Chlamydomonas reinhardtii: one gene and its partner. The protein of the gene in region 1 interacts with the protein of each later gene in a pairwise test. Links are inferred from orthologs where the notes say so. Each region holds a gene or a part of one and is shown on either strand. Other genes may lie near its edges. The genes, in order: CHLRE_01g019750v5 and CHLRE_02g084800v5.

The links.
Region 2: the proteins of CHLRE_01g019750v5 (region 1) and CHLRE_02g084800v5 interact in binary tests that used the Arabidopsis thaliana proteins (3 or more experiments, as listed by UniProt). The link is inferred for Chlamydomonas reinhardtii from reciprocal best matches to the Arabidopsis thaliana genes TOP6B and RHL2.

Annotation. Positions count from the first base shown.
Region 1 is NC_057004.1:3,155,452-3,159,971, forward strand, and holds the start of CHLRE_01g019750v5 (uncharacterized protein), read left to right. Parts: upstream 1-1,544; 5' UTR 1,545-1,755; coding exon 1,756-1,845; intron 1,846-2,044; coding exon 2,045-2,142; intron 2,143-2,354; coding exon 2,355-2,460; intron 2,461-2,750; coding exon 2,751-2,807; intron 2,808-2,925; coding exon 2,926-3,042; intron 3,043-3,443; coding exon 3,444-3,534; intron 3,535-3,730; coding exon 3,731-3,863; intron 3,864-4,108; coding exon 4,109-4,210; intron 4,211-4,520. Other genes in the region: CHLRE_01g019700v5 (uncharacterized protein), read right to left, coding at 112-238, 401-525, 796-1,017, 1,174-1,296. UniProt on the Arabidopsis thaliana protein: Component of the DNA topoisomerase VI involved in chromatin organization and progression of endoreduplication cycles. Relaxes both positive and negative superturns and exhibits a strong decatenase activity. The B subunit binds ATP.
Region 2 is NC_057005.1:1,563,611-1,567,472, reverse strand, and holds the end of CHLRE_02g084800v5 (uncharacterized protein), read right to left. Parts: coding exon 3,808-3,862; intron 3,565-3,807; coding exon 3,502-3,564; intron 3,327-3,501; coding exon 3,227-3,326; intron 2,596-3,226; coding exon 2,491-2,595; intron 2,230-2,490; coding exon 2,182-2,229; intron 1,968-2,181; coding exon 1,899-1,967; intron 1,577-1,898; coding exon 1,481-1,576; 3' UTR 757-1,480; downstream 1-756. UniProt on the Arabidopsis thaliana protein: Component of the DNA topoisomerase VI involved in chromatin organization and progression of endoreduplication cycles. Relaxes both positive and negative superturns and exhibits a strong decatenase activity. Involved in cell-elongation processes.

The DNA of each region.
Region 1 (4,520 bases):
CTGCGGCTTCTCAAATCCTTCTCAAATCCTCCCACCCTCGCCTGGCCTCCCCCTCCCAAGTCCTTCACGCCTCCTTGCGCTCCCCCCGCTCCTCCCGCGCCCTCTCCTCACCAGCTGCGTGAGGCTGCGCAGGCGCGGCTCCAGCTGCATGAGGCCGCGCACCACGTGCGCCCGCAGCGCGAAGCCCGGGTATGCCACGCACACGCGCACGGGGATGCCGCTGCCCGCGTGCTCGAAGCTGCCGGCAACGGCAGTCACAGCGGAGGGCGCGTACCAAGTAAAAGATATGTCATGTGCGGTAGCTGATGTGCGTCCTTGATGGTAAGATGAACAGAAGATTGAGAGAGGCATGGAGAGCGATGCAAGCTACGGCGGGGAAGGCAGTGCGTTGCTGCCGCACCTAACGGAGGGTACTCGCGCGGTGCGGTTGATGGCCACGGTGCCCTGCGCCGCCATGCCACTGTCCCGCACCAGCCCATGCACCCGTTCCAGCAGCTGAAGCCGCTCCTGGGGAGGCAGCCGCTCCTGCAGGGTTGGGGTGGGGGTTGAGGGGGTAGCGAATGGGCGGGAGCAGCATGCGGGAGTAGCTGTCGACACGGGATGTGAGATGATGTCTGCCAGCTACATGGCGCGTGTAAAGCTGAGCCGTCAAACACCTGCACGCACTTTGCTGGCGGAGCAGGGGGTCACCCTCTGCTGCGTGCCTAGCGCCCCCACGCCAGGGCCCTCAAGAAGCCTATCAGTATTTGCAAGGCCATGCCTGTGCGGCTGCCATCTGTCCCTGCTGCGGCTCACCACGTCCGTCGCCTCGCCGCCCTGTGTGCTGGCCGGCAGGCGGCCCGTGACTGCTACCTCAAGCGCAGAGGCGGAGGTGAAGCAGCCCATGAGGAAGGAGCCGTGCGGCACCGCGGCCAGCGAGCCCCCCAGGCTGCCCGCAGTGTCCGCAGACACAAGGCGTGCCAGGTCTGCGACGACGTCCAGCCGGGCGCCATCATCCTCTGGCGTGGGTGCCTCCATCTGCAATGTGTGTACGTGCGTAAGCAGTGATGATTGGGGTTCGGGCCAGTTGACCAGGCACGGCCCCGCGCAACATTGCTGTCAGCTCAAACCGAGCAATCGCTTTCCCCAACGCCCGAGGCTTCCTCGATGCGCATGCAGAATTTCCTGGTTTACCTGAGCAATCTTGTGCAGCAAATCCTCTAATGTGCTGTTCAGCTGCGAGGTCGCTTGGCGCTGCGCCAGGAACGTCTCCCACGCAGCAGGCAGCAGCGCCGCTATGTCATTTGTTGCACTCATTTCTATTGTGCTATGGCCCCGGCTGGGGGCCCCTACTGCGCTGCGCTCAGGGAAAGCCGCTCTAAACTTCAAGCTTTGGCAGTTGCACCTCAGGTCGCATTTTCTCCATCTCTGGTGTCTCTACTCAATATATTCACATTAAGTCCAGCGTTATGGCATGCGGGCGTGTTGTGGAAGTGGGAACGGCAATGCGGGCGAGCTCGCTGGATCCAATATTTCGCAGCGCTCTTCCATCTCCACCTCTGTTTCTTCCTTAGCTCTTCCACAGTCTACACGTGCAAGCATATGTAATATTGTGCCCTCAAAAAGCGTTGTTCAAAACAGAACTAGGGTGCAGGCCAAGGGCCAAAGCCCGATTTGATCCCGGGCTTGAGTGCGACAGTCATGAAGCGCATGTTGCGCGGATAGTCATCATAGAGCGGCCTCAGACGGTGCCTGAGGAGGGGTCCATACGCGAGAATGGCTCCGAAGGGCAAGGCGGATGCGCTGGTGCAGAAGAGCCCTGCGGAGTTCTTTGCGGAGAATAAGAATATTGCGGGATTTGACAATGTGAGTCCGAAGGGCCACTGGCGGGGTTGTATATGACGCTTGTGCCCTGCTTGGGCGGGTGCGGCGGAGGTGGTGTGTGCCAGCGTGCCAGATTGGGCTGTTGGTACACAATCTTGGATACTCGGTCGCAACGAACGCCAGCGCTTTCTACTGATAAGCCTCAGCGCACATGGCACGCGTGCTCCTTGTCCCGCTACAGCCGGGCAAGTGCCTGTACACCACCATCCGTGAGCTGGTGGAGAATGCGCTTGACGCGGCGGAGTCGATTGGGGAGCTGCCCGCCATTGAAATCACCATGTGAGGAATCGGGGAGGGAGGCTACGGGGAAGGTGCGCGGTCGTTGGGCACACAATGGTCCCTCCCCTTGGCCATGGCCCACCTCTCTAACGTCCGGCCACCATTCCTCTCAACCGCATACACCCGCTCCCTCCCTCCTTCAATCTCCCTCCACTCCTCCCTCCACCCCGTCCTTCACCCCTCCCTCCGCCCCTCCCTCCCAAACCCCGAAGCGAGGAGGTGTCCAAGGCGCGGCTAAACCGCATCCGGGGCGTCGAGCACCACGACCGCCTGGACGAACAGCTGTATCAGGACTTTGAGACGGAGGAGGCAAAGAAGGTGCGTGCGTGGGTTTGTGCGTGTTACGAAAGCACAGGTGGAGAGATGCAATACCCACATGTGTTAAAGTAAGGAGCAAAGTGTGTGGGGGGGCATGTCGGGGGTCTGAGGGAGGCGGGGCCGCGGGAGGGGCCCACGGCACACGGATGCCGCCATCAGTCACAGCGCCAGGCTGGCGCTACCGTACATGGCGTCCACGGCAAGGGACGCGGTGGTGCCGAGGCGAGATGACCGCGCGCTCCACTCCCTGTAGTGACGCCCTGCCGCCCTGCTCTCCACCCTCCCCACAGAAACGGCTGGCCAAGGAGGCGCGGGAGCAGGAGAAGCTCAAGAAGCTCATCGAGAAGGTGCATATATATATATATATGCCGGAAGGCAGTAATGTGTGCCCTATCAAACGTGTAACCCACCTACACGGCTATTGGACCCCACTTGACTAGCCCGCCTGTGCACGACTGCCTGCAGCACGGCGAGGGCAGCAAGGAGGCCGAGGCCAAGCGCAAGGAGCTGGCGGCGGTGGCGGGCGCGGCCAAGCCCGGAGCCAACATGCGCGGCAACCTGTTCTACAAGGTCACCGTCAAGGTGCGTGCGTGGGTGTTAGGGGGGTGTTTCCACCATTTCCAACAAGAAACCAGGGACACGAAGGGTGTTTCGGGGGGCCCAGGACTGGGGGCACTCAGGGGCGAAAGGGGAGGTGGGAGTGCAATGGGGCGGGGCATGGGCAGGGCGGGCGCGCATGCAATGTCATGGTACTGTCATGCTCAGTGCACGCTTGAATACGTCCGTGTACGGCCTATGAAATGCCGCTGCGGCTACCGCTGCTGCGTCCTTGTTGGGTTTTGGTTGTGCTATGGGACATTGGTAAGGCTGGTCGTTGGGTCTTGGGGTTGGAATAGCCCCACCCCACTGTTCCTGGCTACGCCTTCACTTCTTGAATAATTGTGAACGTAACCCCACCCCACCCCCGCTGTTCCGGGCTCCAGGACAACGGCGCGGGCATGCCGCACAAGGACATCCCTAACATGCTGGGCCGCGTGCTCAGCGGCACCAAGTACGGAGTCAAGCAGACACGAGGTGTGTGGCTGGGGGTGGTGCGGTGGGTGCGGTGCGGTGCCACGCATTTGGTCTGTGCAACGCGGCGCACGTCATCGTCCTCGTACACACACCCATTTCTCGTCCCCTACCCCACCCACACAATCTCTCGCCCCTTGTGCTTTCCGCACTTGCTCCCCTTGTGCTCTTCTATGACGCCAACACCGCATCAACACAGGCAAGTTCGGTCTGGGCGCCAAGATGGCCCTCATTTGGTCCAAGATGACCACCGGCCTGCCCTTCGAGATCAGCTCCGCCACGCCGCGCGCCGCACTGCGCTCCCACTACCGCCTGGACATAGACATACACAAGTGAGCCCCAGGCAGGCGGTCAGCGGGGGAGTGGAGGAGCGGGCGGGCGCGCGGATAAAGGAAGGGGGGTCGGGGGGGGGGCAAGGTCAGCGGAAGGGCGAGCTGCTGGGAAGGGACGCCCCGGCGGTGGCCATGGAGGGCGCCCGGCGCCGCTATCCTCTACCACAGGCACCCTAGCTCTGACACCGTCGCACTCGTCCCCATTTGGATTAAGGCACATCGCCGCACGCTCGCCCGCTTGTCAGGAACGAGCCCAGCATCCACCTGGAGGAGCAGCTGCCCAACCCGGACGGCTGGCACGGCTCCAGCCTCAGCCTCACCATCGAGGGCAACTGGAGCACGTACCGGTGGGGGCACTGGGCCGCGGCGGTCACAACGCACCGCACTGCGGGTGGAGGGGAGGAGAGAAGAGGGAGAGGGAGAGGGAAAGTGGGAGGGAGAGGGAAGGCGCAGGAGGGTGGGGTGGGGGCTGACGCGAATGGGGGTTGGGTTCCGAGGTGCTGCAAGCCTGTGCTGGCGTCGTGCCGGTACCATGGCCGTGAGCCCTTCCACTTGCTTTTCCCGGCTGACACAAACCCATCACCAATGCACGCCTTTCAACCACTTGGTTTAGATGGGATTGGATGTAGAACCCCATCCCCCATGCGACTCCCTGTT
Region 2 (3,862 bases), on another chromosome or scaffold:
CGCGGGCTCCCGCTTGCATGGTCGTCTTGGCTGCCGTAGTGCCGGTTCCTACTGGGGCGCCATGCGTGCCAGCATCATCCTGCCAGCTCTGGGCCGCCGATAACGGCAGGCCGTTACAGGGTTACAGCCCCCGCCTTCGCGGCCTTTAACTTTACCCCTGGCAACTGAGCTCCGCTGCCACCCCGTCCGCGCGTGCCCGTGATGGAACATGGCAAGGGGCAGGAAAGCGTAGTCCCGATGTGTGTGGCTCCCACCCGTGCCCACATAAATGCGTAGCAAGAAGGGACAAGGCATTGGTGCGTCGTTCGCGCGCTGTTACTGTACCGACGGTAGCTGGCAGGTTGTGTCGATGTTTTGCTGACGCGCATTCCTCACGCTCCGGGCGCCCGGCCAAGGCGATAGCACCACACAGACTCAATGCGACGCCACACCGCGCGGATAGCATAGCCGATGCGCACCTGCAGGCAGTCGACCGGCGTCCACGGATGAGCTGTGTAGACGAGCACTAGCGTAATGCAACGGCGTGCAGCAAAACAATGGCCGGGCGACAGTGTGACAAACAGGGGCAAGAACAAGGCGAAGCAAAGCAGAAGAGGGGCCCGAATGTGTACGTCCGTCCGCGCGTGCCGCCTCCACCTTCCCGCCTTCACCCCTCCCCTGGCCTTGCCTTCGCCGGTATTACTGCTGTGGAAGCGCCGGAGCGACCGCCAACAGGCCGGGTGTACCGCTCTAGCTGGCACGGGCTTGCACGCCAGTTCATTGACCGCTTGCCACAGGAACACTTGCTTCATGGGGAGCCATCAATACCAGCAAGCAATCTGATAATTGGCGCCTCAACCAGTGAACGCCGCCGGGCCAACGTGCAGGGCTGCGGGTTCTCGCCCTGCCCTTTCCTCTCAGCCTGAGCAGCTCCCACGGCTTTCCCGCGACCCTTATGTCCGTTCGCCATCCCGATGCGCGTGAAGAGCCATGCAGCCTCGAAAACGCCCAGAGCGACATCTGTGCAATCTTGCCTTGACCAGGCATCTTAATCTTAGGGTCTGGCAACATTCAATAAGGTAGTCCATCCTGCGTTGCAGCCGCGTGCGTGCGCTGCTTCACACTGGCAAACACGTGCCGTGCCCCCTCTTCTGGGGGCGCTGTGCCCCCCTGTCATTAGCACGGGATGCATGTTCGTCTGCCCGCAACCTGTTCCGTTCCGTTCCTCCTGCTGTGCCCCTGCACGGCGCGTGACCGCCCTCATCGACGACCTGTATGGCGCAGTCGTAGGCAATCGCAGGCACACCGCGCTTCCCAAGCTCCCCTCCACCACGTGGAAACCCAGCCACACGCACAACTGGTGTCCCTCTCGCCCTCCCCTGGGTCCCGCCCTCCCCACCGTTCCTCCCAAAGCACCCGCACCCCCACACACCCGCCACCTGAGCCCGAGCCTCATCACACGCCACGTGGCACATTAAGATCCAGGTCCTAGATCAAGAATCTAGATCCAGTCTCCCTCCTGCAGCTTGAGCGGCAGGTACACCTGGCTGAGGTACTGGAATCCAAAACTGGACAGCGCCTGGATCTCAGCCTTGACCTGCACGGGCGAGAAGGGGGCATCGAGGGTTGCAAAGTTTGGTACTGTGAAGTGTAGCGAAATAGACAGCAGGTGTAGGGGGGTGAACGGTCGTAGCCAGGTGGGAGACAGGTGGGGGATGTGTGAGGTGCGCACGGGCTCGGGTTGCGGACTGTGAAAGACATGTGAGGGACAGGTGATGAGGGGATGGGCGGGTGAGGGGCAGCACCCGTGGGCAGCACCCGTGGGCAGCACCCAAGACAACAGACCAGCGCGCGACAGAGTCCGCGTTACTTCCATGCAATCGGTTGCTGCTGCTGCTGCTGTGGCGGCGGCAGCGTACCTTGCTGGCCAGCATGAGCTCCAGCTCGCGCACCCACTCGGGGTTGCTCTTGATCCAGTCCTCCTCCAGCTGAGGAGGGGGAGGGGACAGAGGATGGCGGGAGATGCAGGAGCAGGAGCAGGAGGGTTGGGGGTGGGGGTTCTTGAGCCGTGGAGAGAGTGTGCCGGTGTGGCCGCGCGATGGCTGCTGCACGTGGTGGTGCGGTGTAGCGCAGTGGGGCTGTGCAACGTAAAACAGAACTTGTCCCGAAAGCTGTTACAAATGCGTGGAAGCCCGGCCTCACCAGGCGCTTGCCGGTCTTGATGTCCTCTTCCGTCATGGGCAGCCGGCACTGACAGGGGAGCAGAGGGGGCGGGAGTGGAGGAGGGGGAATAGTTTACCGTATTTCAAACCCAACTAATACCTATACCCAGAACCAGAGGGCGGAGGAGGTCCGGTGAGGGGGCAGGAGTGGACGCGGCGGGAGTGGATGAGTGCGGACCTGGGGGTAGAGGAGCGGTCCGCGCAAGTGCTGTCTGCCGCCGCCCGTGTAAACGCCCTGCACTCGCCGGCCACCCCAGCCACCCTCTCACACGGCCGCCCGCCGCCACACCTGCTGCGGGATATCGAAGCGGTCCAGGTCGGAGGGCCTCACGCCCAGCCACTTGATGTCGGGGGTGGTGAGGTTGGAGCTGTCGTACGACATGTTCATGGAGCCCTGAGGGGGGGAGGGTGAAGGGGAGCACATTCATGATAAATTAGGGAAGTGGTAAGGGGGAGTCACATTCATGATTGTTCAAGAAGTGGAAGCGCAGCCAGGGATAGTTGTATAGCAAATAGGGCGGAGGGAGAGTGGGGGAGAGTAGGGGCGGCACGTTGAAGGGGATGGGTTTCCATGCACTGCGTCGTGTTACAAGTTGTGAGGGCGGCTCCGCCGCCGGAGAGGGTACATGCAAGCAGAGAACTGCGGTCTTCGTGCGGGGTTGGGAGGGCGAGCCTGAACCGCCGTGTAGCCACGCAAAGATAGAGCGTAGCCAGGGATGACGGCGTCAGTACTGACAGAACGAAACTCGCAAAGTAGCGAGCGCGACACAGGGGATGGGGTTACTGGGTCCGAGGGGAGGGGTCAGAGTGGCTGGGGCGGTGTGCAAGAAGTAGCAGGCACACTGAAAGCATGCGCGCAGCAGCTCGGGGGCAGTTTGACTGCAGGCTGTACAGAAGTGTCAAACCCGGCTTTCCGCGCCTGGCCCATACCCGTCCCCGCCTGCCTGCCCCGCTAGTTCAGCTCGATTTGCTTTAGCTTGGGCTGGTATTTATAACCCCCGCCTCCCGCTCGGGCGCTGGCTCGCCTTCATGTACACGGACAGGATCTTGAGGCCGTAGGGGTCGCTGTCCACCAGCGCCAGCACCGGGATCTTCAGGCTGGACTTGAGCTTCTTGAGGAACAGGCTGTGGACGGGCGCGTGATAAGTGCGATAAAGGCTTGTGCGGGCGCTGAGCAGATGAGCAAGGCGTGGCATTGGATGCAGACAGGCAGGCAGGCAAGTCCTTCTAGAGCACCCTTGGCGCAGTGGCCATGCCCCGCCGGTGAAGGCACTCCAAGGGAAGTAATTGTGTCTCGCACCGCGTGGCCACGTCGGGCTGCCCCTTTGCGGTGAGGATGATGCAGGGGTAGGTGTTGTAGAACCTGTGCGCGCGTGCGTATGTGTGTGTGTGTGTATGTATGTGTGTGTGTGTGTGTGTGTGTGTGTGTGTGTGTGTGTGTGTGTGTGTGTGTGTGTGTGTGTCGGCATCGCCCCACATCCGCGTCGTAACCTCCTCCTCCTGCCCTCCTCCTGCCCTCCTCCTGCCCCTCCTCCTCCTCGTCCTTCCCCTCCTCCTCCTCCTCCTCCTCCTCCTCCTCCTCCTCCTCCTCCCGCCCCTACCCCACCTGTCCTCCGCCAGGCGCATGAATGCAGCGTCCTTCTCAACCAGCAGGATGAAGG